Linked DNA regions of Oryzias latipes. The protein of the gene in region 4 purifies or fractionates together with the protein of the main gene of each other region. This does not show direct contact. Links are inferred from orthologs where the notes say so. Each region holds a gene or a part of one and is shown on either strand. Other genes may lie near its edges. The genes, in order: eapp, ddx23, snrnp200, cd2bp2, snrpe, dhx38 and snrpd1.

Region 1 (4,134 bases), on a different chromosome or scaffold from region 4:
CATAACTTTAATTATGAAAGGTGATCAAATAGATTTCCTCAGGCGAGGTAAAGTTAGAGGAGCGATCACTGCATCAGTCTGGATCTGGATGTTTTGCCCCATTTGATATCTAGGGGGACCTAGAGGAGCACAACATAACAGTAAAGTCTTTTTGCCCTGACTTTAAATTAACACCAAAAACACCAAAAGAGTGTCTCCATAAAAAATAACATTTATTTACAAATTAATAAATACCGATCGACAATAACTAAAAGGTGAAGCAAAAAGGCTTCAGGGTGAACCAAACCCAAAATAACAAACAAAACCCCACCTGACTGAGATCTGAAATCTTACCTGTGACAAAACAATAACCTCCGTGGAGACAGGTTGCAGCAAAGCTCCCTTCTGGCAGGCTGGGGGTCCACATGCTGCTTGTAAAGGCTGCCTCCATCAGCTTGGGTCCAAAAGGAAGCCACACCCTTTCCAGCACCAAAGTAATCAGACAGACACACAAAAACCCACAAAACACAGAAGTCCCACTATGATACAAAAAAGACAGAACAAAAAGAACAAAACCGAATACGGCCACAGCCATAACACTGGAGGTCCAACAGGATCTTTGCCCTCTCATTCTCTACCACTTCAGAGGTGTTTCCCATTTTGACTTTATGGTTTCCAGTTCATATTCTGCACACATGTTCCTGTATATTATTCCAGCCACTTGATTGTGGCGCTCCATGTATGCTTTCCCTGCCAGTATCTTACACCCTGCAGTTATGTGCTGGATTGTTTCAGGCGCCTCTTTGCACAGCCTACACCTTGGGTCTTGTCTGGTGTGGTAGATCTGAGCCTCTATTGCTCTGGTACTCAGGGCTTGTTCCTGAGCTGCCAGGATGAGCGCTTATGGCTGAATAATCTTTTCACCTCTATTGTCCTTTTCAAGTTGCATGGGTTATCCTTAAACTAATCTTGAAAAACTTTTTATTTAATGCTTTTTGAAGTCTATAGTTATCATTATATTTTGGGGATACATAAAAATATATAATGTTTGAAAATTTTCTTAATTATTTTCATGTTATACCTACTGTTAAATCCAAACAATAATTAATTTCTTCTTTTTTATTAATTTTACTTTTCTAATCTTTTAAATTTAGCTTCAGCATTTTAACCTGACCGATTTTACTATTAAATTGTGGCTTTAGCAATAAATAAATTTATTTTTATTTGTTTCTTTTGTTTTATATTCCACCTACTTTTATTTTTTAGTTCTGAAATGAATTTCCTTTTAGATAGTTGAAGTAAAAATGATTTTAAAATGTTTCTCCACAAGAGGGCGGTAACGAGTTTTCCAAGTGCTTTTACCACCATAGAAGAAGAACCGATGCCGAAGAAGAAGACATACGTCAGACTGGACAGAGTGTAGACCAGTTTCGGGATAAATCTTTCCCGTTGTTTTGTCTTCTGAGAAAGTTTAAAATTGTTAAAATGAGCAAGTTTAACGGACCGGTGGAAAGTGAGGCTTATGAAATCGATGAGCCAAGCGACGAAGAACGCGCTTCGAGCAGGTATGATGTAAACAGACGGTTAGCTTCATGCTAGCAGCACGAGGCTAACAACAGCTGAAAGCAACAAAAACGGATAAAAACATTACATGTTTATGATTTGGTTTTTAATGATGTTTTTGATTTTAAAGGTAGAATATATGCAGGATAAACCAGTTCCTAGACGTTTAATTTTAAAGTTTGAATCAGGTTTTAGACCATGATAAAAGAGACGCAATATGTCGCATTTTGGCGCTGTGTTTTGCTTTGCTTCATGATCGTCATCATGATGAAGGTTTCCAAAAGTCCAGTTTTGAACAGAAACGCCTGTCTTCAGCTCCGAGGACGAGCTGGACGTGCTGCTGAACGGGACGCCGGACCAGAAGAAGAAGCTGATCCGGGAGTACCTGACCGGGGAGAGCGAGTCCTCCAGCGGGGATGAGTTTGAGAAGGAGATGGAGGCAGAGCTGAGCTCCACCCTCAGGACCATGGAAGGAAGCTGGGCCCCTGCAGCCGGTAACCCGTAACACGCACAGACACACACAGGGCCCTTCCAAACACAGAAACACCAAGCTTTTGTACAAAAGAGAGCTGCTTGTTGTTTTGAACCACTTTACCACATTGGAGCCACCAGCCCCAACCTCAGCCGCCTCCCAGCATCATCATCAGCAGCAGCAGCAGCAGCATAACTGTCCGTCTCTCCTTTCAAAACCATCTCATTCTGCTTCTAGAGCCTGATCTGGGGGGTATTCCAGAAAGCAGGTTATGCTAGTTACCACGGTAAGTTTGAGGCTAAGGAAGTTGATACCCTCAGCTTTCTGTTTTAGAAATGGAGGTATGCTTCAGGGTAGGTCAAGTTGCCATAGTAACTCATGCTCTGAACATAACCTGGTCTGGAGCAGGTTTAGTTGAAGCTTAGTTTGTTTTCAGAGAGGTGAAGCAGCATGGCGTGTCCATTTGAAGATGATTTAGTGGATGAAGAAGCTCAGATAATACTTTTTCCACCATTGTTCTCCACGCGTTTCCATGGTTACTCCGTAAATCGGCGATCTATTGAGAATGTCTTTATGTACCTGCTGTGCACGAGCATTAACCCAGGGTTACCAAGTCGAGCGCAATTACGCCAACTCATACCCGGTCTTTTGGAACCGACATACCCAGAGTAAGCGATTTCAGGCGGATTTCAGCCAGAGTTCAGGGTTAAAGTCAGGCTAGTTTAAACATGCTTCCTGGAACACCCCACAGGTCTTCTGATGTTTCCATTCCTCCATTCAGTGCAGCTTTAAAAGCTGTTCTTCTCTTTAGAAGCTGCAGACTTTAAGGTCTGAGCTGTAATGAACAGTCAGATCAGTGACCAGCATGGGAGGATTTGTAGATCCAGACAGGTTTCATGCAAAACTCAAAAACAATAGTTTTGACCTGATACCACTCATGTTTGGCTTCTTTACTTTGTTTTAATTAATAAATCATACAAACATTAGAAAAAAGATATATTTTAGAAATACTGTTCAATTTAAAATAGAAAAATGCTCTTTTAATACAATGTACTTGCTATAGTAGAAAGTCAAGTCAAACCAGCCGGAGTCCACAACCTCTCATCCACCAGAACCTTCAAATCCTCCACAATTCCAGGAGAAATTGAATGATTAGTTTGTGTTAAATAAAAGTCCCAAAACAAACCAATAGTTTGTAAATTTTGAATGTTTTTCTGCAAAGGCAGCTCATCAGCTGTTCTCTGGAGGGGTTGGTCTGCTTCTGTATTAATCTGACTGCAGACGAAGGTTTCAGGAGGGATTGCATGTGAAGGTTTCCTCTCTCCTGCAGCAGAAACTGGAGGAGGCAGCGAGGTTGTCGGTTCCTCCAACCCTCAGATGTACGACAGCGTTTACTTTGACTCTGATTCAGAGGAGGAGGACACAGCTGGTAAGACGCACACTGACGCGGCGTGAGCACGGGCATGCTAGGTTCACACCGCCCACGGGAATCCGCGTCTACGCCACTACTTCCAACGAGTCCAAGTCTATGTAAACGCTTGTAAATGCGCATTTCCGGCTTCTTCGGTCAAAACTCTTTTGTTCGTGCATCTCTGCGCGAGTCTTGATGTCTGTTTTTGTACAAAACCTGCACCCACTGAACGCACTTTGAAAGTTAAACCAGTTGAACTTTGACCAATCAGAGAGTCAGATTTGGTAGTGACGCATGCGTAGCATCCTTTTTAATTCACCAAATGGGCTAACTGGTTGAAAGGTGATCAAGAAGGAGAAATTCAAAATGTGCAGTTTGTGCCCTGCCAGAACTACATGACACACCAAGTCTTTCATAAACCGGAATCGAGCCGTGAAAGAAAACGCCTGGAGATTTGCACCGCTTTGAATTTTCCTCCCAAGCCTCCTCCAACTGGAGGTGGTGGACGTGTTGGCGCCCGTCCACTGTGAACACCATATGACAACGCATGTCCAAGAATGTGTGACACGTCTGGTGTGAACGTAATTGGGAGTGGGAATTGGACTAGGAATATTAATGTTAGCGGTTGACCGTTGTACCACCATGCCAGAAATTCTGTTCTAGTACATACATAGAATAATTCTCAGGGTTTGAATGCACGTCATGAAAT
Region 2 (3,950 bases), on a different chromosome or scaffold from region 4:
TTATCTGTTTCAAACTGAAACAAATTACATTTTTGTATTTCAGTGGTTATATTTCAGATTTTTGCTTCAGATATTTTTTGATCAACTGGTGAAGGCCGAAAATAGAAATATGTGCGTGCGTAGCCAATTTGAACTCAAATTCAGCACACAGACATACATTTTGATTTCACTGAGGGGTCTGGGATCCATCATTTCTACAAAGTTTCATAAAAAGAATTTTAACTGCTAAATGTATGCATTTTTGCAAAAGGGAAAGTAACTACAAAATACATTCAGAATAATTAATTTATTTTCCATGGAGACTGCTCTTATTTGGAATAACAAATCTTTTTATATCTCAACCACAACCACACTTCTTAATTTAAACAATTTGAGTTTTAAAGTATCTATCTATCTATAGAGTGGCCTTTTCTTGTGGCCAGTCTAAGGCACACCTATGGCAGGCCATTTTAACATCAAAAGGCTAAGTTTGACTATCCGGAATGAACATTGTAGATATCAGCAACGTATTTCTGACTAGTCGTAATTACATTTTGGATAGTTGGAATTGTAATTCAAGATATCTGTAACGTAATTGTGATAGTCGAAACGACCGATAGAGATATGGCCTGCCATACACACCTGTGCAATAATCTTACTGTCTAATCAGCATCTTGATATGGCACACCTGTGAGGTGGGATGGATTGTCTTGGCAAAGGAGAAGTGCTCACTATCACAGATTTAGACAAATTTGTGAACAATATTTCAGAGAACTGGTTATTTTGTGTATGTGGAAAATGTTTCACGTCTTTGAGTTCATACCATAAAATATGGGAGCAATAACAAAAGTGTTGCGTTCATATTTTTGGTCTATCTATCTATCTATCTATCTATCTATCTATCTATCTATCTATCTATCTATCTATCTATCTATCTATCTATCTATCTATCTATCTATCTATCTATCTATCTATCTATCTATCTATCTATCTATCTATCTATCTATCTATCTATCTATCTATCTCAGATAAATGCATCGCGATCGCCACCCTGTGCCCAAAATGAAAAATAAACTGAATTTTATACAGGCATTTAGGTGGACATACATTAAACAATCTGGGTCCTCAGAAAGGTCACGAGATTGCTGGGTAGTGTAGTTGATATTTGCTTTTCATGCACGGATCACCAAAGCACGAAACTTCAACTCCCACGTACCCTTGCGAGGAAAGCTTATTTCGAGCGTTATGGAGTCTTCTTGAATCGTTTCTCTATCGCAGTACGTTTGTTGACAAGTGAAAAGGGTAAGTTAACAATCTGCTAAATATAAAGCCTCTGAGCGGGTTAAACTTATGGTTATCATAATGTGTTTTATATGATGTCGGTGGTGCAGAATTGGAGAGTTAATGTAGAAAGAAGCGGCCTTTGTAGCTAAGTCGTTTGCTAGCTAGTGTGTTACTAGCGCTAACTCGCGCTGGATATGCATAGCAGCAACATTCATTTCCCAAAGATTGAGTAAATCACGTTTCCTTGTCTTTTTTTTTTTAAAATATACATTATTTTTTAAAGTTCCTTTTGCTTTTGTATCTATATATTTTACTCGAAAGTTCAAACTCTAAGCATGTTTTTTTTCTTTTATGATTTACAATTTACATAAGAAATTGTTCTTTTTGTGGGAAAAACAATTCATTTAACTGGAACTTCGTAAAGAAATTGTTGTGAAAAAGCGAAATGTCAAGTTGTGACGCTGATGTATAAAATTTTTTTTTGGTAATGTGAATTTTAATGCAAAATTAATGAGCATTATGTCTTGTTTTCCAGTTAGTGCTTCTATCCATATATGTGAATATAATAAAACAGCACTTTATTTTGATATGTTGCAAAAACAATAAAAAAAATACAGAAACTAACTTTTATGATGTATTTCCCAGGTGATGGTTTTAAAAAAAAGTTCTGCTTACATGTTATTGTGTTTGCAGATGGCAGCTGACTCCACAGATAAGAAAGATGCTGAATCCTCAGCGAGCAAGGACAGGGAGAGGAAACGCAGCCGCTCCCGGGACCGAGATCGCAAAGCGTCTCCACTGCGCAAACGTCATCGCTCTCGCGAACGGAACCGCTCCAAATCCGCAGAAAGGTTGCTACACACGCAGAACTGTGTCAGTGTATCATGGCTAATTGGGTTCACGTTCTAATGTTTTTTTTCTGATTTGTTTTATATTTACAGAGACCGACGCATGAAGGACAGAGACAAGGACCGCGACAGGGATAAAGACAGGGACAGGGGCCGCAAGGACAGAGAGAGGGACAGCCATCGCCGGGATCGCAATAAAAGGTCTAGATATCTCGCAGAGAACACATCATTATTAATATACTGTGAGAGGAAATGGGAAAGGAACTCCCTTTGGCATTCTTGGGTTTGTAGAGACTTACGATGACCCGGAAATGGCTCTAACGGCTTGAGGTTATTTTATTTTTTTATATGTTTTTATCTTTTATAGAAGTCCGTCTCCAAAGTCAAAGGATGGCAGGATGAAGAAGGAAAAAGAGATCAAAACAGAGGAGGAAGAAGAGGAAAATAAAAAGAAAGAAAAGGTTTGATTTTTCTATCTATAAAAAAAACTTGAATAATAATCATTTACTCCACAAACAAGGCAAAGAGGGGCAGACATGGTTGTTTTTTAAGCTTCATTTTTTTAAACATATTTTTTAACCAAGATTTAGGAGTTTGAACAAAGAAAGATCCAAAAGTTTAATTTTTGATTGGGATTTCTTCTTGTTTTTTTAAGTTTCAAAAGTTTTGTGCTGATTTAGAAACAATACTTGAAGTGATGCACTGAACCTGCATTGTGTTGTGGTTCAGGTCCAACCGCTTTCGTTGGAGGAGCTTTTGGCCAAGAAGAAGGCAGAAGAAGAAGCAGAATCCAAGGTTGGATTATTCCCGAGAGAAGTGTTTCTTCTTTCTCATTTTTCTATTGTAAATTTTATTTTTTTGTTTTGTTTTTCAGCCCAAGTTTCTGTCAAGAGCAGAGAGAGAAGCCGAGGCTATAAAGCGCAGGGAGCAGCAGGTGGAGGAGAAGAAGAAATTGATGGAAGACGAGAGGAAGAAGAGGAGGGTGTTTCAGGATATGGGTAGAAAAATGTTGGGTGAGTTTCTAACTTGTTCCTCGAAAACAACCCGGCATTTTACTTTGCTAAAGAGACGTGTTAAAAAAGATGTGGCTGTCTCTCCCAGAGGACCCACAGGAGCGGGAGAGACGTGAGAGGAGGGAACGAATGGACCGAGAGAATAATGGAAATGAAGAGGACGATGAGCGCCTAAAGATGCGGGAGGAGAAAGATAAAACTAAAGAACTCCATGCCATCAAGGTTGGTTGCAATCCCAGTTGCGTCAAATGCTTTGATAAAGACAGGAAGGAAGCAGCTTTTGGGTTGTTTCTCTTAAATATACCTTATCTAGAGGCTTCGGGGTACTTTTAAGAGCAGTTTCCTGGTCTCTGGATTGTTCCATGTACCATAATTTCAGGATTATAAATCGCTATTTTTGTCACACGCTTTCAACCCTGTGGCTTATTCAATGATGCAGCTAATTTATGCATTTTTAAATGCAATTTTTCGAGCAGAAAGGGAAAGCGTGAGGCAGGGGGAATACGGTATATGTGTCGAGGAAGACGCAAGTTTAATGTAAATTCCTGCTTTGTGAATGAATAGCACAAACAGACCCTCATCATGGAAAATGCAAGAAGAAATGCATATGATGCAGCTTTCAAGTTAAAAGCGATCATTAAAAGCAGTGTGAAAAAAATCCACCATCACCAACGGGTTTGGAAAAGGTGGTCTGCTGCATGATGGAGAGGACAGCGCAAGCTCAGGAGAGAATTTGCCTCAGGATGAGAGTGACACTGACAGTGACAACGAAGGAGAGATGGAGAGAGAGTGTGGCGAAGAATCTCTGACGCTATTCCAATCAACA
Region 3 (3,500 bases), on a different chromosome or scaffold from region 4:
AACTATGTAAAATACCGGATATGACCATAAAAGAAGAAATGGCGAGTTCTTTTAAGATCTTTTAAGCGTGCTCTTATTATTGTTATTATTATTAAGTGCCTGATGCTCATAATTTTCTAAATATGTGCAGCCAGTGCTTTATTCTTGGCTGCATGTACCCAGAAGAAGGGTTAGGATTAGGTTAATACGTGCTAACAACATTTGGCCGTGGATGCAGTTAAAATCCTTTTGGTCAATGCTGCAATGTGCATCTTGGCTGCACATAGGTATGTGGGCATAACGTCAGCCTTTATTTTGACTGGACATGATTGAAAACACAAATTCACTTAATTATTTGCGCGGTTTCTCAGGACTGCTCAGTGCAGTGCATTTCCGCATTCAATAGCTGCCTCCGCCATCTCACACACCGTTCTGAAGCTGCTCCTCTGCTTGGAGACACGAAGCTACGAGTCCGGCTGCTCTGCTCACAGATGTGGCTCGCTCGCGCGGAGCAGCCTCTGGAGCACCACACCGTGTGTGCATGACATAAAAGCCAAAGCCGTAGTGACCCAGGATCGACAAAAACTGTTTATATGCACCACGATCGGATCAACATTCGACATAACACGCCTACCTCGATCAGAAGGACATTTTGATCCAAATGAGTCTGTTCAAAGTGTTTACTTGACGCATTTTTATTCTGATCAGGCGTTTATTCCGATTACTTTTGTCTATGTAACTGCAGCTATTGTTGCACATTAGTTTGCCTGAAGAATAATGCGGTTCTCTTTCTTCAGAGTGCTGGACGGTTGATGCGCGCCATATTTGAGATCGTGCTAAACCGAGGCTGGGCTCAGCTCACAGATAAGACCATGAACCTGTGCAAGATGATCGACAAGAGAATGCAAGTGTCTTTTATGTTACTAAAGAAATACATTTTCTATCTTGAAGCTGGATTCTCATGCTTTATGTTCTGATTTTCCTACAGGTGGCAGTCGATGTCTCCTTTGCGTCAGTTCAAAAAGCTGCCAGAGGAAGTGGTCAAGAAGATTGAGAAGAAAAACTTCCCTTTTGAGCGTCTGTACGATCTCAACCACAATGAGATTGGTGAGTTTCTCGCTTCATGAAGCATTTTCATTCTATGCTGTCCTTTGCCTGCAGGACACTGAAAAAGCTGTTGTCTTCCTCTTTGTGTAGGCGAACTGATTCGAATGCCAAAGATGGGGAAGACCATTCACAAATACGTCCATCAGTTCCCAAGACTGGACCTCGCCGTTCATCTCCAGCCCATCACTCGCTCCACTCTGAAAGTGGAGCTCACCATCACGCCTGACTTCCAGTGGGACGATAAGGTCTGTGGCTGTAACTCGGGGACGTTTCCCTTCTGAAAAGCTTTTCCTGTTTCTAAGCTTCCCTTTCTGCTTAGATTCACGGATCATCTGAAGCTTTCTGGATCCTGGTGGAGGACGTTGACAGTGAAGTGATCCTCCACCACGAGTACTTCCTCCTTAAAGCCAAGTACGCCCAGGACGAACATCTGGTGACGTTCTTTGTCCCCGTGTTTGAGCCTCTGCCTCCTCAGTATTTCATCCGCATGGTTTCAGACCGATGGCTCTGTAAGTAGCTCAAAGAGAACTGCAATGCAGAATTCCTCTGCTCTCCACTGTACAACTTCGCCTGACACCTTTCTCGTTTCTGTTTTTCTCTCAGCCTGTGAGACTCAGCTCCCAGTGTCCTTCCGCCACCTCATCTTGCCAGAGAAGTACCCCCCACCCACTGAGCTGCTGGACCTGCAGCCGCTGCCCGTCACTGCTCTCAGGAACTCTGCCTTTGAAGCTCTCTACCAGAACAAGTTTCCGTTCTTCAATCCAATTCAGACACAAGGTATTTGGAAAAACGAAACCCAGACAAAAAGATGGAATATCCCATTTTCAGACTGATCTGTTTGACTCAAACCAGAGCTCTGTATTCACATCTTTTTCTTTTCTTACTCCTTTCTCCAAATCAGTCTTCAATGCCGTGTACAACAGTGACGATAATGTGTTTGTGGGAGCTCCCACTGGGAGTGGAAAGACCATCTGTGCGGAGTTTGCCATTCTCAGAATGCTGCTGCACAACACAGAAGGCCGCTGTGTGTATATCACTCCCATGGAAGCACTGGCTGAGCAGGTACAATGTCATGGAAGAACTCTGTGAAGCCCACATCCATTTGGAGAATCGGACCGCTTGTAGCTTCATGATGGCTTCTCTCTTTCAGGTCTTTGTTGACTGGCATCAGAAGTTCCAGGACATCCTGAACAAGAAGGTGGTGCTCCTAACTGGGGAGACCAGCACCGATCTGAAGCTTTTGGGGAAAGGGGACATCATCATCAGCACCCCAGACAAATGGGACATCTTGTCTCGTCGCTGGAAACAGAGAAAGAATGTGCAGAACGTCAGCCTTTTCATTGTGGATGAAGCACACCTTATTGGTGGAGAAAATGGAGTAAGAAGTGTTTTAGTCTCTGTAAACAGCAGGTGTTTGCATCACTGTATGTAGATTGTCTAATCGATGGGACTTTGGTTGTGTTTTTAGCCGGTGTTGGAGGTTATCTGCTCCAGAATGAGGTACATCTCCTCACAAATCGAGCGTCCCATCCGCATCGTCGCCCTCAGCTCGTCTCTGTCCAATGCCAAAGACATGGCTCACTGGCTGGGCTGCAGCACCACGGCCACCTTTAATTTCCACCCAAATGTCAGACCTGTGCCTCTGGAGCTGCACATTCAGGTTCATTAACATGTCTACCTGTAAATGATCAAAGCCACAAATACAGGATCCTTTTGTTAACATGGACCTTCTCTGTTCCTGCAGGGTTTCAACGTCAGTCATACTCAGACACGGCTGCTTTCCATGGCCAAGCCAGTCTATCATGCCATCATGAAGCACTCCCCATCCAAGCCGGCGGTGGTGTTCGTACCGTCACGCCGACAGACCCGCCTCACTGCCATTGACATCCTCACTTTCTGCGCCGCCGACGTGGTTCCTCAGAGGTTGGTCACCAGATGTGACTCCACTCTCTGGGTTTGGAATCAAATCTTTACACAAAGGTGAAACCTGTTTCTTTGAAGGTTCTTGCATTGCACCGAGAAAGACCTGGTACCATTCCTGGAGAAAATAAATGATCCCACTCTGAAAGAGACTCTGGCCAATGGTGTGGGATATCTGCATGAAGGCCTGTCAGCAACTGAACGCAAAATAGTGGAACAGCTGTTCAACTCGGGTATGATTCATTCCTGGACTTCATTGTTGATACGAGAAGAATTTTTCATCAACATGCAAAGCATTAGAAAAATAAATTTCTGAATGATTGATGGTAATTCTTTCATCCAGGTGCTGTCCAGGTGGTTGTTTCTTCTCGTTCTCTCTGCTGGGGAATTAGCATCTCTGCACATTTGGTCATTGTCATGGACACCCAGTACTACAATGGAAAAATCCATGCGTAAGGATCAGGCTGTCCCAACCTCTATAGCGGCTCAGAAAT
Region 4 (4,295 bases):
TATTTATAATACACCTTTTTGTTTTAATAAAGTAATGCAACAGAATTTTCAGAATAAAAGTATCTTTAAACCTTAACTACTAGAAGTGAACAAAGATCATCATATGAATAAATGAATAAATAAAACTTGTGAAACATGCAATACCATCAACCCCCATGCATCCAACATAACGACATTTATTTTAAACCTGGTAAGTACCTCATAATAAACAATAAAAATGTCAGCACATTTCCAAAACCACAATATTTTTCTTGGCTGCTCACATCACTGCAGATTTGACAGCGCTGACTCAGACTTACCTTTTGTCAAGCAGTAAGGGTCACTTTGGCCTCCCACGCAGTCCTTTCATTATTCAGATCGACACATTATGTTTTAATTTTTGTTGTTGTTAAATATGAAGGCGGTTGTTTGCTGTCAGGTTGATTCGACCAGCCCAGACAATGTTTTCATATTTAGCATTAAGTTACTAAAGCTGGTTCCCTCATGGGCACCGAAGGACGAGCGTTTAAATATAAATAACTCAACCCACTTCCTGGTAATAATACCCTGACACGTTATATTCTCTGTTGAGTCTGCCCGGAGCTCCTGGGAACTGAGCAGTCGCGACCTGCTTCACTGTCAAGAAGTGAGATTCTAGTGGCTGTGGTGGAGTTGACTGCCTTGGCTCCATCATTTCTCCTTTTATTTCTTTTATGATGTGATTTCCTTATGATTGCTTTTAAGGCGACTGACTCTGCTGTGGGCAGATGGAAAATAACTGAAAAGATTCAGTTCCCTGTCAAAAACAGCACCACTTTTATTGATCTAGGTTTTTTTTCCACTTTTTTTAAAGCTATAATTAGATCAGCTTCTGATTCTATATTTATAGAATAATTTCAACTCCTGGTAAGGATTTGTGTTTGTTGCCATGGAAAATAACAAAATCTTTTTTTAAATTGAGCAGCTTTCCTAATAAGGTTCCTATTGTGCATAAATCCCGTGCATTTTCCTTATGTGCTTTTAAAAACTAATACAATAAAAGATTAAAAATGCAAACGATTGAAAATGCAGATCTAATAATAATTATTTTGTTTGTGTGCTATCACAAATAAAAAAAGAGCTATTTTAAAAAATGATAAAATAAAAAGACTTAGTTATAAATTCAATAGCATTAATGGCTTTTAGGGAGAAGCATTAAATCTACAAAAATGAAACATAGCTCTATTCAAAGTGTAGTTTTCAAAATGACGTCTGAAAGAGCAAAACTGAAATCGAATATTGTTTCTCTGAATTCTCATTTCTAGATTTATTAACAGTTTTACAGAAAATTATTCCTGCTTTAACTATTCACAACTGCAGTTTTTCAAAAAGGGTGTGGTAAATAAAGACAGTTTGCTAAAAAAAACGGATAACAAAAGATGAATGAATCCTAAACAAAATGTAATTTTTGAGCCAGCCTCAACGCTTTTATCTTTGAAAATAACAGCTGTTACCCTCCACACCACATGGTGGCGGTGTTGCGTCATTCCGCCATTGTTGAATAACAATAAAATCTAGATTTCCGTCAAACAAGAAGCGAAAGCGAACGTTGACAATTTATGCAGGTTTTTTACCACGCTCTCCCTATCTGTTCTATTGTGTCATTTATACTTATTATTTGTTTATACATTATGTTGACCAACATAATGTTGAATGCCTTTCGTATATCGAGTCGCAGTTGGTGGCGAGGCGTTTACTTGTTCTGCATGCTCTCCGTGTTGTTGTTTGCTAACACTTAGCTGCAAAGCTAATAACGTGCGTGTTATTACAGTCACTTGTGGGTGTGTAGTTGCGTGGATAAAAGTGGTGCTCTGTTGTCTTCTCCAGCACCATGTCGAAGAGAAAAGTGACATTTCAGGACGGGAACGAAGAGTTTGAACTGGAAGACGACGGGCTCACGAAGAAGGTAAAGCCGGAGGATCTGTCAGGGTTTTGCTAAAAAAGTTTAGCCTTTGATTTCCTGAATTTTGATCTGGATAAACTATATAAGTAATCATTTGTTACGTATTGGTACTAATTAAGTGCCGCGTGTTTTATTTTAGTTTTGTGCTGCGTCATTCATTTCTGTGTTTTCCTCATGATGAGCTGTTGGCCTTTATTTGATGCACTATTTTCATTCCACTATTCTATTGAAATATTAGTACAGTTATTTTAAAGATGTTTACTTTATTTTGATATATTCTAAAACGGCATTTGCATAACTAATAAGTTATAACTTTTATTAGTCATTTGAAATCTTTTCCAGTAACTTATGAACTGAGATTATTTTTAGCTTAAGTGGACACTTTGTTTAATTCAAAATATGGCAGACCTGTGTAATTTTTTTATTATCTGAGAAATGATAGAATGTAAAAGAATAAAAACACCTATTTTTAGGTGAAGCATGACCTTGTTTTACTGTTTAGGTTATGCTTTTTTTGGGGGCATCGATCACAAAATAAATACATTTGTTTCGCTTTTGTTTCTAAGTGCCATCCCTATGACTTTGTTTTGTTGAAACAGAGCTGTGAGGCAGTGAGTGGACCAGGTTCCAGGTTCAAGGGCAAACATTCACTAGACAGTGATGAAGAGGACGAAGGAGGAGAATCAAAACACAGCAAATACAACATTCTAGCCAGCGATGATGTGGAGGGTAAGCCTTGTTTTTTGTTTGTTTTGAAAAATAATATAAGTGAGGGTGCTTTAATTTTAAACCAAGATGTTTAATATCTGTTTACCTGCACAAAGTAGTCCTTTATGCTAATAGTGCTTTCGTAAACTTTCCCTGGAAGCTGTTTTAATGTCAGAAAATGTGTTTTCAGGTCAAGAAGGAGCAACTATCGACTATGATGAGGGAGTATCTATTACACCTTTTAACCTAGAAGAGGAGATGGAGGAAGGTCACTTCGATTCAGAGGGAAACTATTTCATCAAAAAGGAGAAAGAGATTAAAGACAACTGGCTAGACAACATAGACTGGGTAACTAGTTTTAGGAACACATACATGGCGTATTTTCAGTCAAGAGAGAATGAATGAAACATCTTCCTTTATTACAGGTAAAAATAAGAGAGCAGCCTTTCAAAAAGAAGAAGAAAGGTCTGGGAGCCAAGCGGGTGCGCAGAGCTGGTGATGAGGATGAGGCTGAGGAGGAAAAGCGGAGGGAGGAAAAGCAAGTAGACAAGGGTGATCAGGAAGAGGAAGAGGAGGAGGAGGAGGAGGAGACACCTGTAGAGGACCCCCTGGCATCCTACACGCAGCATCAGCTCACTGAAGCTGTTGTTGAGTTATTGGAACCCGGAGAAACGGTTGCTACGGCGCTCCGTCGGTTAGGAGGCCTTGGGGGGAAGAAGGGGAAGCTGAGGAAAGAGAACGAACCCACAAAGGAGAACAAAAGAGATGCCGAGAAGCTGGATAAGCTCACAGCTCTCGCTGACAGACTGGTTGGATCAGGGATGTTTGAAATCTATCAGCACACTTATGAGAAACTAGGATTTTTGATGAAGAGGATGACGAGCAAGCAGCCAGCAGACAGGCAGAGAACCAGGTGTAGTGACGATGAGGATGAACTCGACATGTTTGGCGACAAATTTGATGAGAAAGTTGAGGAAAAATCAGAAGACAAAGAGGATGAGGAAGACAAAAGAGGTAATTTGGCGAAACATTTGAAGATTTTCGGTTGTCGTCACATGCAATGTAACTTATTTGATCGATCTTTCTGAACTTTTAGTGACGGATGAAGTGATGTGGGAGTACAAATGGGACAACAAGGAAAACACAGAGGTCTACGGCCCCTTCACCAGCCAGCAGATGCAGGTTATTCCCCTCAAATTTGTACATGAAGAATTATTCTTATGGGATTTGTGCAAAATTAAACTGTTAATCTCCCTTTTGTGTTTTAATATAAACAATTAGAAAGTGGTGTCTTTGTCTATATCTGTCAGCTAATAGTTCATTTGACGCCTAATGTACAAGAATTGTGTAATTATTGTTACTCCTATACATTGTTTTGAATAAAATCAGGATACAGAATATGTTTAAATGATATTTAAGTGAAGTCATAATTGACATTATTACAAAAAATGATAAAATCTGTGCAGCTTTAATGCAGCATTTTATGTCTACCTTTTAAAGTTTATTTATTTTTTAAGTGAATTTTAACTGCTCTCTTTCTGTAAAGATAGCAGTAAATCCCACCGTGTTTGCCAGATTATTGACTTGTAAAGTAGCTCTGACCCTCAGTTGGACCTGGTGGGGTTTTAATCTTCTTATTGTTCGTTTTCCAGGGCTGGGTGGACGA
Region 5 (3,968 bases), on a different chromosome or scaffold from region 4:
GAAAAAAACAAAGCCATTTATTCTCAAAGGTTGTAGAGAAACTCACATTTATGCATAAAATCGTAAGCAGTTAACAGAAAAAAAAGACAGGATCTGCAGTCGTCACTGGTGTCACTAGGTAGAGACACTCTGCAGCAAGGTGATGTTGTCGCCCTTTAACATAACCCGACCTGTGAAACAAGGAAAGAAATTTATCTTGACATTTTAAAAACTGACATTCCTGAGTGTATAACAAATAAATACTGACTGGAAAAATATTTCTATGTTTTCCTCAAACAAATATTTTGTTACAGCAGTTCTAGAAACAAAAGCTAACAGTACATGTTAATAAATACAAAGAATATTCAAATTTTTCATTGTAAAATAAATAAATAAAGCTGTTCTAATAACTGCTAAGATCAAAAAATAGTAACTGAAATTTAACAAATTAAACAAGCTAAAGAGTCTTACCCAGTGGCTTTCTGTTCTTGGTCTTCATGTGGACCTCCTCAGCATCATCTAGAACCAGGTTCATGTACTCATCAAAGCCCTGGAAAATAAAATAAAAAGGAAATAATCAATTAACTACTTTCATAACTGAAGCTGTTTGGATTCATTTAAATTCAGGCTCTCAAGGTTTTTCCCCCCCAAGAAAACGGCACAGGTTGTTTGTTTTTATTTCGGCTAAAAACAGCATAATCATAGTTAAAAGATCACCGAGAATGTTCTGAAAATAGATTAAAGTGTCAAGAGTGTAGGACCGGCAATTTCAATTGGTCTCCTAATTCATGCTTAGTTTGTCATTATGCTGTTCTCATTGATCATTTACCTACTGTATTGTGAGTCTGAACCAGTGTGTGTTTTTTTTGTTGCCGTTTTCAAATACATTTTTAAATCAGCTGCAGAGTTCTGCTCTACTGGTAAGAAAGGTGCCCGCTGCAAAAGCAGCTAAAACAGAGCCCCAAAATAGTCGTAGAAAAAATTTCTGCAAAACAGTTTTAAGTTGATTATTGTGGATCTAACACCAGCCATTAAGAACTTTTACCAAGCTCCAATAAAAAAAATAACTAAAATGCTAGGTCAGTGGTTCTCAAACTTTCTCTTGTTCCCCCTTTTGGAGCGGAGAAGGAAAACCTGGAATCGTCGATCGTTTTTACAGTCTATACCAGTTTTAAAGTAACTGTGGCACACATTTGGAAAGTTAACAAACACTGTGAAAGTAAAATAAAGAGAAATCTTACAATGATGCAGCCTTCTATCCGCATGTTCACCTGCTCATAAAGCCACACCTGGATTCGTGAGCGCTGCAAAGCAAAGATGACACGAATCAGTATTTCAGTCACCACCGAGACAAAAGGTGAACCTGCAAGAGCCTTCAATACTCACGTTCTGAAGGTATCTGAAAATGAGGTTCTGATGAACAGAGTCAAGGAAATGACATGTCTAAACCGTTTCAATGTTACAGAAGATATTTCAAATAACATGAACTAGTCATTTCAATTTCAGTAGAGTGACACAAACTGTTTTGCACTTTAACCGGAGAGCTGAGATCCTGTTAAATACCAGTGAATGTCATACATTTCAATGTAAGCCAGTGAAAAAGGACTTCACAAACCAATTACATGACCGAAATGATGAAATAAAGCTATGGATGACGCAGAATTTGCTCGAAAGTCCCACTCAGATCATTTTGATCTATTTTTGAAGTATTATCGGCGGTCTTTTAACGTTAGTTATGCCTTTTACCAGCTTACAGAAATTCTGCAATTGTTCTAGAGTTTTACAGTTTACTATTTAACTTCTGCTGATGTATCCACGTTATAACGTAAACTGTAGGGCAACCATGTCAAAACAACTGAAGACACGCTTAAAAATGGATTTAAAACGGGTTCTGGCATTAGATTTTCTCTTATTTATTGACTTTGTTAGGGGTTTTTTTACGAGTCAAATTTTAATGGTATTCTTAATTTCTTTAACATCTTTTTTATTTTTTTATAGATGACATGTCACTTCATAATCAAGAAAAATAAGAAAACAGGTCTCACACACTCACAGGGACAAACTTGAGTTAAGTTAAAAACCAAATAAAAAACTACAAAATATGACCAATTGTTACAACAAATCAAAAGAACATTTAATTATCAGACCAAAGTAGTGCATTTAACTAATATTATTAGTTTAAGTCGTTAAGTGCAACATCTCGATTGTTGACTTCTTTTTTCACTAAAAGAAAACTCTGCCAAAGGTAAACGTGTCATTGTTTTCTTCTTTCCAATTAAACAAACGTATTTTTGTAAAATGTATAATAGTAAATTGATAACCCATCATATTGCTATGTACGTTTAGAAAATGCTAAAAATGTTTGTTTCAAATTCAATTTCTTTCGAAGTACAACGTCGTGCTTAAATTTGATCGATAAACAGAAAAATACGTGCTTCAATACTGAAATTAAAAAAAGTCAGTAAATATGCATTCCAATGTATTTAGAAAGTCATGTAGTACCTAGAAAAAAAAGGAATACAGTTTACCGATGAGCAAACACGAGAAATAACCGATTAGCATCGCTGCTAACAAATGCTAACAGCAAAGAAAGGATACAATGGGCTGCACCATAACCTTCTGCACCTTCTGTCCTTGTCCTCGGTAAGCCATTCTCTTCACACGCAAAAAAGACACGCAAGAAGTATTTCGTTAAAGAAATATTGCCTTTTACAATTGAATGATTTCAACGTTCAGCTCACGATGCCAAGTTGCCTTAATGGCGGGTTTCTTTCCGCATCCGGTTCCTGCACTGAAAGGTTTCCCTTCACCGAACAAGCGCCACCTACAGGCAGGATGTCAATACTGCACAATTTGATATTTGGTCAAAAATTACGTTCAGTGTGAAATCCTTCAAATATGCAGACTAATTATGACTTATAAAAAGTATGAAAACACATCTGGTACCAATTAAAAGGCTAAATTTAATAATTAAGTTGTTTTTGAGTCACCATATTTTTTGTCAACGTCTGTTTCAGTACATATTTATTTCTTAATCCTGAAGGGAAAAATACAAAGGTTTTGCTTCGACTTTTTTCTTGTACATTTTCAGTAATCGTTTATTTTTGCTTGGATTAATTTCAGTGATTAACACAAGTACCAATAATATTTGAACAGCTTTCATATAGCAGAAAAGAAGGTTTAAATATTGATACATCAACTAGTTTGGATATAGCGTCATTTACTTCATAGATGTTCAATTGTTGGATGTATATAGTCTAATTTATCATTTAGATTTTTATTTTTTTATTTTCCTATTACACATAATATTAACAAGCATACAGATATGTAATTACTGTAGTTGTTTTTGCAACACAAATTCAATAAGTGAAAATTGTTGATAATTTTTGTAATTTTTCCATAATTGTTCAAACTTTTTATTATTATTATTTTCTTACAAGTAATTTTGTTTTCAATATTAGAGTTTAATTTTGTAAACTATTTCCTAAACATTTATCTTGACCAGGTTCTACTGTCACAGCAGTGACCTATTTTATCCAAAAGAGGGCAGCAGAGAAAAACAAAAACATAAGAAACAACTCGAGCCCAAGATGAACATTAGTAAAAGGTTTCACTTCACTTTCCTTATAAATAAACTTAAAGTTCTAATCTGAGTTCTACAATAAACATTGTTAAAAAGTGCAGTCGATTTAAAGAAGTTGTCTATAAAAGTATTTAGTCAAGAAGGTGAGAGGTACAAATGATTCTTCTTGTTCAGTAGTGTTCTTTCTTCAAAAAGGTTTAGAATTTATCGCATAACTTTTGTTTTTGATTAAATGTGAAATATATTTTCACCTGCAGATGCAGACCTATGAATTTAGCAGGAACATGAGCTCCATTGAGGAGTGTTTTTTCCCCACCTAAGATTTTTGTGAGCTAAATTAAGAATATAAAACATAAAAACATGTATGTGACTTTCTAATTACATGTGTGTTAAATTAAATTAAATT
Region 6 (4,075 bases), on a different chromosome or scaffold from region 4:
GATTACCAGCCATGTGTCATTGATCATGTTGTGTACTCTTATCTCCTCTAATGTAAAGTATTTTAAGGCATTGTCGACGGTTTCACAATGGTCACTATTTGTGCTTTTGCCGCTCGACTTTAAGTTAGCCTCCTCGACCATTCTAGCGAGATACAAAAAAAACAAAACAAAAAGTCGTCTAGGTGTTGGCTAATGTTAGCCTATGTTAGCCAGGTATGGATTTAACGACTGCGACTTCAACGGTGTTCTAAAAAAGACGCAACTGAAGGGTAGCTACTTAATGTTTTCACGGGTACAGCGAATAAGAACGTAGAAAGGCAGAAGTAGACAGCGCCACCGTGCTGTTTATTACGAAATCATGAAACAAACCGGTACACTAGAAGGGACGTAGAACTGACCAATCATGTGTGTTCTAGTTTGCCAGCAGACCCGTGGTCATCAACCAATGAGTGGGCGAGATTTTGAGTGGTGGCCAATCAGATCAGCCACCTTGTGATCATGAGACCAAAGAAATGCGCAAAGGTTGTCAAGTGTGTGCTGTCATTGCGCATGAGAACATGACTTGCGTTTTTCGTGGCGTGAATAATGTTGTTAAAAAATCTGGGTAACATTTTATGGTTTGTAGTTTTTAATATATATTTTAAAAAAGGTCTCCTCCATCCATTCGAAAATTTGCAAAACACAAAGTAGGCAGCAATACATCCAGTTTCCATATTTTCCTGCAAGATAACCTTGGGCCAGATTTATTTTTTCTTTTGGGGCAAAATCATTTTTATTTTAACTTCATAGAGTAAGTTTCTTTGAAAAAAATACACTGACAAGTCACTACTTAAAGGATATAAAGTAAACTTTGGCTAAAAGACATACTTAGAGCAAGTGAACCAAAACTGTAGTAGTGTGGTGAAAGAAAACATAAGCCACAGATGCTGGTAAACAAGTGTAAACCTTAGTACGCCACACAAATAAATAACTCGTCCCCCTATATTTAAAAATAAGGGACAAAATGACCCTTTTAAGAATAACTTCTGTGTGCAGGAGACTTTTAGGGAACAAAAAAATATAAGTCCACGTCTGTGGTGTTTAATATATAGCTTTTTCTACTAGCTTTTTTCTATGTATCTGCCGTTGCTGATTATGTGAACAAACGGTAAGCCGAATATTCGTGTCCTGAAGACAAAAAAGAGATTTTAAGTTGTTTTAACAAATTTTTATTTTATTTTATTTTTTAGAATGTCCTGTGGGTGGCAGCATAGACACTGCAGGCATGTGTAGAAGAAGAACAGAGTGCATTGTGGGATTGAAATGGCTGTTTTGGCGTCTGTAAACATTTGCGTCGTATATACGAATTTACGTTCTACTTGTTGTCTCTGTCTTCAGAAGTGAACAACATTGTCGTCTGATCTTGAAGTTCGTATGAAGGTTTTTTTCATTTGGCTCCCAGAAATAGAAGTGGCGGTGTTCTATCTTCTGGTGCTCTATGCTAACAAGTAGCTTTTGGGAAAGCTAACGGTAGCTGTTCGGCCCGAGGTAGGTCCAATTCATTTACAATAAACTGCAGTGAATAACAGTAAAAATCAAATATTTATAATCGCTTTTTGAGCAGGTCAATGTGCGTAAATTCACCATACTCAGTAGACTATGTTCAAAATCAGGTTGATCAAGGTGATTTTTCCATCAACACTTTTAGTTTGAATTATTTTCATGCGAGGAGGAGGAGGAGGAGGAGGGGGGGGGGTGGCAAGGGTTTTTGTTTCCATTTTTATTCAGGCTAAAAAAAAAGGTTTGATTAACCGAATAAAGCCAAAGTAATCTATGAATCGCAAATTAATTGTAAACATTGAGAAATTGTATAATTGCAAAGCAATATACCATGGTAAATGCGCCTTTACAAGCACAGCAGGTTTGCCTATTCCTTTTTTTCTTCTTTTTTGCAAGTCAGTCATCTAACTGAAGACTATAATTGATTTTAATTTTATATTTTCCTAGTTAACAATTTACTCTGTCGGTCAACAGCTTTAGAACATCTAAAATCCACACGATTTTAAAGAATTCAGGGCGGTAATTTCCAAATAATAACATGAAATGGTTACAAGTTCTTGCCAGCTAATAATAATAAATATTCATATTTAGCCATAATAATTATGGCTAAACTAAGAAAGTACAGATTTCTGAAATACACAAAATGTCTACTACCATGAAATAGATTAACAGTTTAAAGCTAGATGTTCATCAAGACTTAAAAATAATTTGTACAGGTGTTCCTACTTTTTTTGATAACGTGCAACATTCTCAATCTTCATGAGAGCAGGGAGTAGTTAAACAGTGTTTTACATCTAAAAGTATTTTTTTGTTTTCAAAAGAAAAAGCAGAAAAAAAACGACAATGGAAGAGACACAGCCCATCAAAACACCAAAAAGTGTAGGTATTTTGTACAGACAAATAAAGAAAGTCAAGGCGTCAGTGAGTTTTATTGTATAAAAATATAATTGTATTCATAATCAAAACGTGCACAGAAAGTTGGGAAAACTCTTGAAAGGAAAAAGTCTGGAAGATCCAAAGTCGCCGCTGAATTGGTGAACTCATTTTGTGGGACTTAACAGGCAGGTTAAGGTTCAACAGCTTTTCTACATAAGGTATTGATCAATTAATAAAATGTTGAAATATTTGCTTTGTGTCACAGAATCTTTGTCAAAAAGGTGAAGCAAAGGCTCCACAGTCTGTGATACCAACTGTCAAACATAGAGGAGGATATGTGAGGGTATGGATCTGTTTTTCTGGGCCCAGGCTCAGTGGGTTGCACAGAGAGGAACCTAAAACCAACAGAAACTACGGCATTCTAAGCTCACTACTTTTATTTTGTTGTATACATTTAGTTGGTCAAGGGCTAATCCTTCAACAACATAATGACTCCAAATAAAAATCCAAGCATTGCCAGAACTACCTTAGAATAAATAACAAAATGGTAATCTTTGAAACATGGAGATCCCTGCACATCCTTCAAACTTGTGGATGGAAAAGGAAAAGCAAAGTGGCAAGCATTTATGTGAACCCCTGCAGGAGGCCTGGAGATGCGTTTTTAAAGAGTTTCTGTTGCAGAAAGAATGCCTGACTCTGTTTAGTGGCTATATCTATAAAAAGTGGCTACTTTAAATAATTAAAAGTTACATTTTAGCTTGTAAATTCGCTCCAGGATTTCCACTTTCTAATTTCTAATATTCTTAAGATTGCGAGGATAACAGACATAATAATAATAATAATAATAATACATTTTATTTCAAGCGCCTTTATAATACTGATTACTTTCCAATAAAAACTGGAAACATGGGAGTGTTCTAAAACTTTTCACTGGTTGTGGAACTACTTCGTTTTTTATTTTTTTATTTTTTACAAATTAGAAGTTTCAAGCAAATACTTGTTAAGTTTTGCATCTATTCATAGTAAACACATTATTTGTAGTTTCAGTGAACTTATAAATGTTAAGTGCTCTCATGACCAGCATATCAAAAGTGCTGTTGTTATTTGTTATGCTCAACTTGTCTGTGTTTGCTGTCAGAGGATGGAGGAGGAGGATGTTTCCATGCATAGGCTGGAAGGGACCAGTCCAGAAGCTCAGGTTGGCGGTCTGATTGTAAAGAAAAAGAGTACTGCTGCAGAACCTCATGTTTTTCGAGCACCTACACCACGTACATCTTTGCTGGGCTTGGATCTACTGGCTGCCCAAAAGAGAAAGGAGCGGGAGACCAAAGAACAGGAACAATTCAACTGCGATGAAAGAGACAGAAAGAAGTCAAAGATTTCTTCCTACAAGGACTGGGAAGAGGGTAAAAGTGACTCCGGCTCTGATGAAGAGGACGACGAAGAGAATAAAAGTGCCAAGAAAGAACGGTAATTTGAAAAAATTAGATCTTTATGAAATTAATGCCCAATGTTTGGCTCCCCAAATGATTTATACTAGGTTGTTTTTATTATGAAAATGAACAGTGTCTATACTATATTCTGGATGTTATAACATTTCTCTTCAATTTTAAGTATACATAATCATTTTACCCATGCAACATTTTTATTAAAAACAAAA
Region 7 (4,282 bases), on a different chromosome or scaffold from region 4:
TAACAGTCCTTCAACGTTGTAGATCTTCACATCTTAATACTCACCCACAATGTTTACAGGGGGCTGAATCACTGCCTTTAGGTAGGAGGCGATTTGGTGCTGGAATGAGAGGAATATTAATTTAAGGGAGTTAAGTTGGTGTTGAATTTCTTCTACTGTAGTAAATGGGTGGTGGTTTGAGTTTGAAGCCAGATGTGTTGCCCATGATTTCATTCAATGAACTGTACTGGTGTGTGTTTTTCTTTTTTATTATACAGCATTTATTATCCCTGAATGGGAAGTTTGTATTTTTGTTTTTTTGCAGTCGTGCTACACTCATCAGGCAGCATGCAGAGGACATGTTTGGGGGTTTTTCAGCATTTTCACGTTTGGACTGATGGTGAATGTTGTGGTGGCATTTGTTCTCCACACTGTTTGATTAAATCCTCCCTCCACAAATACCTTCTTTTTTCTTTTTTTTTAAATACAACAATTTGCACTTTCTTTAGGTTTCACTTGATACATTCCCAGCTTGTCTCAATAAATAAAAAGTATTGCTGTTTGGCCAAAACTCTAAATGAAATATCAATGCAAAGTTTACTCTCAATAAAAAGATCTGAAAGTTTGCTCCTTTGTTCTTTTTGTCTTCTTTCCTAGATCAATGGTTCCCAGCTTTTTGTGTATTTTGTAAGGATGTAAAGGATACAGTTACGTATTGAAAATTGATCAAGTACTGGAAGTAACAGCTCTATCAATCGATAACCTTAAATACGAGCAAGTTGGTGAAAAGGTAAAAAAATGAAATCAATCAGGAAGTAAATCGTTATTTTTTTTTCTTTTCTGTCTTTACTGTCTTTGCCTTTTTATGTACATGTGATGCCAACATGAAGACACCCAATCACAAAGCCTACTTCTACCAAATCGGGTCAATTATGATTGGCTGAATGTGAACCACAGTGTGCTGTGTTCTCTTTTTTCACGGTACTGCAAACAATGCCTGAATAAATTCCTATGACAATTTTTTGATCATAAATAAAAACAGAACAGTATTCGTAGTTGAAGCAGTTCTCTCAGAGATGTTTTGTTTTTGTTGCTTCAAAAAAAGGGCCAATAAGAACAAAATTTAAGAAAAAAGTTTCTCTGTTAAATGGCATTTCCATTAATAATTTTAAATGCCAAATACATAAATAGAAATCTATGAATAAATGACTGGTACTTTATTTTTTAGCACCATACAATGGCATCAGGGTGCCAAAGGGCTTACATTAACATAACATTTAAAATTGAGTAGATTGAGAGGGGAAAAAAACAGCATTAGATGGAAAAAACAATAAAACACATAGAAAAACAGTTAATAATTAAAGTAATTGGTAAGTAATTAAATAAAGACAGTAAAGGAATATTAGATGCCACCAACCCAATGAGTAAGAGAAAACAACTCATTTTTGTCTTTCCACTGACTGTTCTTCATCTCACCACCAGGCGGCGGTAAGACAACATTGACGGTGAGCGGTGGCCTCTTTCTGACGTCATATCAACGCGACACAAACGTTGGTGGTACATCAGCGGCCTGTGATTTCACTCGATCGCTGTAATTTTTCTCGTCGGTGGAGGATCTTTTCTCTACTGTTCGTCATGAAACTAGTCAGGTAATTTGCTGCATGGTCTGTAGATGTGTCGACTGGTTTAAGATAGGATGATGAAATAAAGGCTGTGTGGCCGGATGGGTTCAGATAGACAAATGAACTGTGTGGAGAGGCGGGAACAAGGCTGCTGGGTTTTCATTCAAAAAATACATATAAACATATCATTAGAGCTAACTATTTAATCAAGGATTAAACTGCTTGTTTTAGCAATATTTGTAAAAGATCGAGGCTGATTCGTTATCATTTATGGTTTTGCAAATTTCCCCCCGCATTATTAAAACTATCGTACTAAAGGAGGTTAATTTATTAGATGTTGTTTCCGTTTCCTCAAAGTGCTTTATCATTATTTAATTGTATTTATTTTTGGATGTTTTTAATTTCCACAACTTAAGAGACAAATGTTTTGTTTTCAGTTTACACAACAGTATCAATCCACCGAAGCTAACAAGCTAAGAGCTAACACGAGTTTTGTTTAGATACTAAAAAAAAAATACATTCAAAAAGGGGGGGGGGGGTATTTTGTACAATTTTATACGTTAAATCTTATGTGTTGTACAAAAATGCTGTCTAATGTTTGTGAGAGAGAGACGTCTTCTTTGTGCAAAGCAGTAAGTTGGCTAATTGATCATTCAAGATGGATCTAGTCATTAAAGTCTTCTACAGCAATGGTGCCAACCTTCTAATAAAGCGGTTTTTTATTGTATTTAATTTATCAAAATATTTTTATGATTAACAGAAAACGTTACCAACAATTATTTCTAACAAAAAGTCCGCATAAATGTTCATACAAAACATTAAAAAATGTGAATCTGAAAATGGAGTTTAAAGTCTTCCATTTTATCCAGTATGTATGGGATCAAATGCAGTTTTTGTATGAAATGGTGCATATCACAGTATGTTTATTTCCCTCGTTTTTTTTATGTTTGACATTTTGTTTATTTCATTTGTATTTTGTGAATATGAACAGACATAAAAATGATGCTTTTAATTTGTTAAAGTCCACCAATCAATTATTGATTAACATTTTCCTGTTCTAGTTCTGCTTAAAGGTCAGCATGTTATTAGTGTATTTTTTTTCATGGTATTGTCACTTTAAAACATTGACGTTTAAATGAAAGTGCCTTTTGGATTCAGAAAACCAAAATGAATGTGCCAATTCTAGGTTTTTGAAAAATACACTTTTGAGTAAGAATAAAACACGTGAACCTTTTTTGTTTCATGTGGGATGACAATAAATCATGTTTTTTTTTTTTTTGCGAAAATGATTCTTTCCCTGAAGTGTAGATACATTATACTGGTACTGCTTTTTGATTACAAAATGGTATGTTTGGTAAAGTATAGTGCAGTAAAACAACTCTTAAAGGTTAAGTAAATGTAAATGTATGCTACTCTCCCGTGTCCACACAGGTTTTTGATGAAGCTCAGTCATGAGACCGTTACCATTGAACTGAAGAATGGCACTCAGGTCCATGGCACCATCACAGGTGAGAGCAAACACTTTAGAGACGAATAAATGAACTAAATCATTTTTAAAATCCTCTTCTTCTTCTTTTTAATAGGTGTTGATGTAAGCATGAACACACACTTGAAGGCGGTGAAAATGACCCTAAAGAACAGGGAACCCACTCAGCTGGAGTCCCTGAGTATCCGAGGCAACAACATTCGCTACTTCATCCTGCCAGACAGTCTTCCACTGGACACCTTGCTGGTCGACATTGAACCAAAGATCAAGTCCAAGAAGAGAGAAGCAGGTGGGAGATTTGGGCACATTCTTACCTGGAAAATTGTATTAAGTTGAGAAGGATTTTTCTGCGATAAGAAATCCCTCAACAGTATTTATATTCATCATGGGTGTGTAAATCTGCTGTTTATTTCTTTGAGAAATGTTTTGTTCTGCTGATTAAAACTTTTTTTTTTCACGAGTATGGTGAAAGAATCTGGCCTTTCTTGTTCTCAGTTGCTGGTAGGGGGCGAGGCAGAGGACGGGGCCGTGGCAGAGGAAGAGGACGAGGGCGAGGTGGACCACGGAGATGATTTCAGAGCCCCAACTGTTTGTACAGCTTTTAATTGTACTGCGCGGTGGACGCAAAGTGAATCTAAGTGTAAGTTTAGGGTTGTTTTTCTTTTTTATACTCGTGGGTTGTTTAAGACCGCGAGGGGGTTTTGGATGCTGTTGATTCATAATTTGTACCATCTTGAATAAAATGTCTGAGCAGCATTTAAACTGGGTAAAAATGTCATCTGTTTTTTGCTTTTTTTATACCTTCTTGTGTCTTTGGCAAAGTTGGCTGAAAATGTAGCTGTTCTACTGGCATCAAAGAAGAATAAATCTTTTTTTTTCTCTTTGTAATATTTGGCTCTTTAATTGGCTTGATTAGTTTTCACTTTTCCTATAAGTGATTGAAATAGGTTGATAAGGTTTTTTTTCACAGTTTCTGGAACTGATTACATCTCAACTTATTGTTGATGATGTTCCAGATACTGCTGATCCACCTCTGGTGGATGGTGTGGATGTTGATGACTGCAAATGTAAAAACCTTTTGTCCAATACTTAGATGGGCTGGCTCTTAACCCACATAAGTTTCCAATAAAATAAAGAAAATCCACTTTGAATTTTGACATCATTGTAAAAACTTATGTTTGTTATTGAAGATCTC

What was found.
Region 1: the proteins of cd2bp2 (region 4) and eapp purify together in Homo sapiens (affinity purification with mass spectrometry; 3 studies listed by BioGRID and IntAct, counting the BioPlex papers as one, with this or other methods). This does not show direct contact. The link is inferred for Oryzias latipes from reciprocal best matches to the Homo sapiens genes CD2BP2 and EAPP.
Region 2: the proteins of cd2bp2 (region 4) and ddx23 purify together in Homo sapiens (affinity purification with mass spectrometry; 6 studies listed by BioGRID and IntAct, counting the BioPlex papers as one, with this or other methods). This does not show direct contact. The link is inferred for Oryzias latipes from reciprocal best matches to the Homo sapiens genes CD2BP2 and DDX23.
Region 3: the proteins of cd2bp2 (region 4) and snrnp200 purify together in Homo sapiens (affinity purification with mass spectrometry; 8 studies listed by BioGRID and IntAct, counting the BioPlex papers as one, with this or other methods). This does not show direct contact. The link is inferred for Oryzias latipes from reciprocal best matches to the Homo sapiens genes CD2BP2 and SNRNP200.
Region 5: the proteins of cd2bp2 (region 4) and snrpe purify together in Homo sapiens (affinity purification with mass spectrometry; 3 studies listed by BioGRID and IntAct, counting the BioPlex papers as one, with this or other methods). This does not show direct contact. The link is inferred for Oryzias latipes from reciprocal best matches to the Homo sapiens genes CD2BP2 and SNRPE.
Region 6: the proteins of cd2bp2 (region 4) and dhx38 purify together in Homo sapiens (affinity purification with mass spectrometry; 3 studies listed by BioGRID and IntAct, counting the BioPlex papers as one, with this or other methods). This does not show direct contact. The link is inferred for Oryzias latipes from reciprocal best matches to the Homo sapiens genes CD2BP2 and DHX38.
Region 7: the proteins of cd2bp2 (region 4) and snrpd1 purify together in Homo sapiens (affinity purification with mass spectrometry; 3 studies listed by BioGRID and IntAct, counting the BioPlex papers as one, with this or other methods). This does not show direct contact. The link is inferred for Oryzias latipes from reciprocal best matches to the Homo sapiens genes CD2BP2 and SNRPD1.

What each region holds. Positions count from the first base shown.
Region 1 is NC_019880.2:24,339,382-24,343,515, forward strand, and holds the start of eapp (E2F-associated phosphoprotein), read left to right. Parts: upstream 1-1,334; 5' UTR 1,335-1,464; coding exon 1,465-1,544; intron 1,545-1,857; coding exon 1,858-2,036; intron 2,037-3,344; coding exon 3,345-3,443; intron 3,444-4,134. UniProt on the Homo sapiens protein: May play an important role in the fine-tuning of both major E2F1 activities, the regulation of the cell-cycle and the induction of apoptosis. Promotes S-phase entry, and inhibits p14(ARP) expression.
Region 2 is NC_019865.2:19,105,989-19,109,938, forward strand, and holds the start of ddx23 (probable ATP-dependent RNA helicase DDX23), read left to right. Parts: upstream 1-1,150; 5' UTR 1,151-1,281; intron 1,282-1,956; coding exon 1,957-2,114; intron 2,115-2,204; coding exon 2,205-2,312; intron 2,313-2,478; coding exon 2,479-2,572; intron 2,573-2,840; coding exon 2,841-2,906; intron 2,907-2,985; coding exon 2,986-3,124; intron 3,125-3,212; coding exon 3,213-3,346; intron 3,347-3,950. UniProt on the Homo sapiens protein: Involved in pre-mRNA splicing and its phosphorylated form (by SRPK2) is required for spliceosomal B complex formation.
Region 3 is NC_019867.2:18,369,349-18,372,848, reverse strand, and holds part of snrnp200 (U5 small nuclear ribonucleoprotein 200 kDa helicase), read left to right. Parts: intron 1-776; coding exon 777-883; intron 884-967; coding exon 968-1,086; intron 1,087-1,176; coding exon 1,177-1,331; intron 1,332-1,405; coding exon 1,406-1,595; intron 1,596-1,689; coding exon 1,690-1,863; intron 1,864-1,987; coding exon 1,988-2,148; intron 2,149-2,236; coding exon 2,237-2,464; intron 2,465-2,554; coding exon 2,555-2,746; intron 2,747-2,830; coding exon 2,831-3,009; intron 3,010-3,087; coding exon 3,088-3,239; intron 3,240-3,349; coding exon 3,350-3,458; intron 3,459-3,500. UniProt on the Homo sapiens protein: Catalyzes the ATP-dependent unwinding of U4/U6 RNA duplices, an essential step in the assembly of a catalytically active spliceosome. Plays a role in pre-mRNA splicing as a core component of precatalytic, catalytic and postcatalytic spliceosomal complexes.
Region 4 is NC_019866.2:3,948,470-3,952,764, reverse strand, and holds the start of cd2bp2 (CD2 antigen cytoplasmic tail-binding protein 2), read left to right. Parts: upstream 1-1,495; 5' UTR 1,496-1,583; exon of another isoform or gene 1,584-1,845; 5' UTR 1,846-1,849; coding exon 1,850-1,924; intron 1,925-2,520; coding exon 2,521-2,650; intron 2,651-2,819; coding exon 2,820-2,977; intron 2,978-3,054; coding exon 3,055-3,643; intron 3,644-3,725; coding exon 3,726-3,811; intron 3,812-4,281; coding exon 4,282-4,295. UniProt on the Homo sapiens protein: Involved in pre-mRNA splicing as component of the U5 snRNP complex that is involved in spliceosome assembly.
Region 5 is NC_019863.2:23,629,254-23,633,221, forward strand, and holds the start of snrpe (small nuclear ribonucleoprotein E), read right to left. Parts: upstream 2,801-3,968; 5' UTR 2,632-2,800; coding exon 2,578-2,631; intron 1,393-2,577; coding exon 1,366-1,392; intron 1,284-1,365; coding exon 1,221-1,283; intron 530-1,220; coding exon 451-529; intron 171-450; coding exon 115-170; 3' UTR 1-114. UniProt on the Homo sapiens protein: Plays a role in pre-mRNA splicing as a core component of the spliceosomal U1, U2, U4 and U5 small nuclear ribonucleoproteins (snRNPs), the building blocks of the spliceosome.
Region 6 is NC_019861.2:20,526,057-20,530,131, forward strand, and holds the start of dhx38 (pre-mRNA-splicing factor ATP-dependent RNA helicase PRP16), read left to right. Parts: upstream 1-1,275; 5' UTR 1,276-1,527; intron 1,528-3,553; 5' UTR 3,554-3,556; coding exon 3,557-3,885; intron 3,886-4,075. Other genes in the region: cytochrome b5, read right to left, coding at 1-141. UniProt on the Homo sapiens protein: Probable ATP-binding RNA helicase. Involved in pre-mRNA splicing as component of the spliceosome.
Region 7 is NC_019869.2:22,965,507-22,969,788, reverse strand, and holds snrpd1 (small nuclear ribonucleoprotein Sm D1), read left to right. Parts: upstream 1-1,482; 5' UTR 1,483-1,614; coding exon 1,615-1,628; intron 1,629-3,032; coding exon 3,033-3,109; intron 3,110-3,184; coding exon 3,185-3,376; intron 3,377-3,582; coding exon 3,583-3,659; 3' UTR 3,660-4,231; downstream 4,232-4,282. UniProt on the Homo sapiens protein: Plays a role in pre-mRNA splicing as a core component of the spliceosomal U1, U2, U4 and U5 small nuclear ribonucleoproteins (snRNPs), the building blocks of the spliceosome.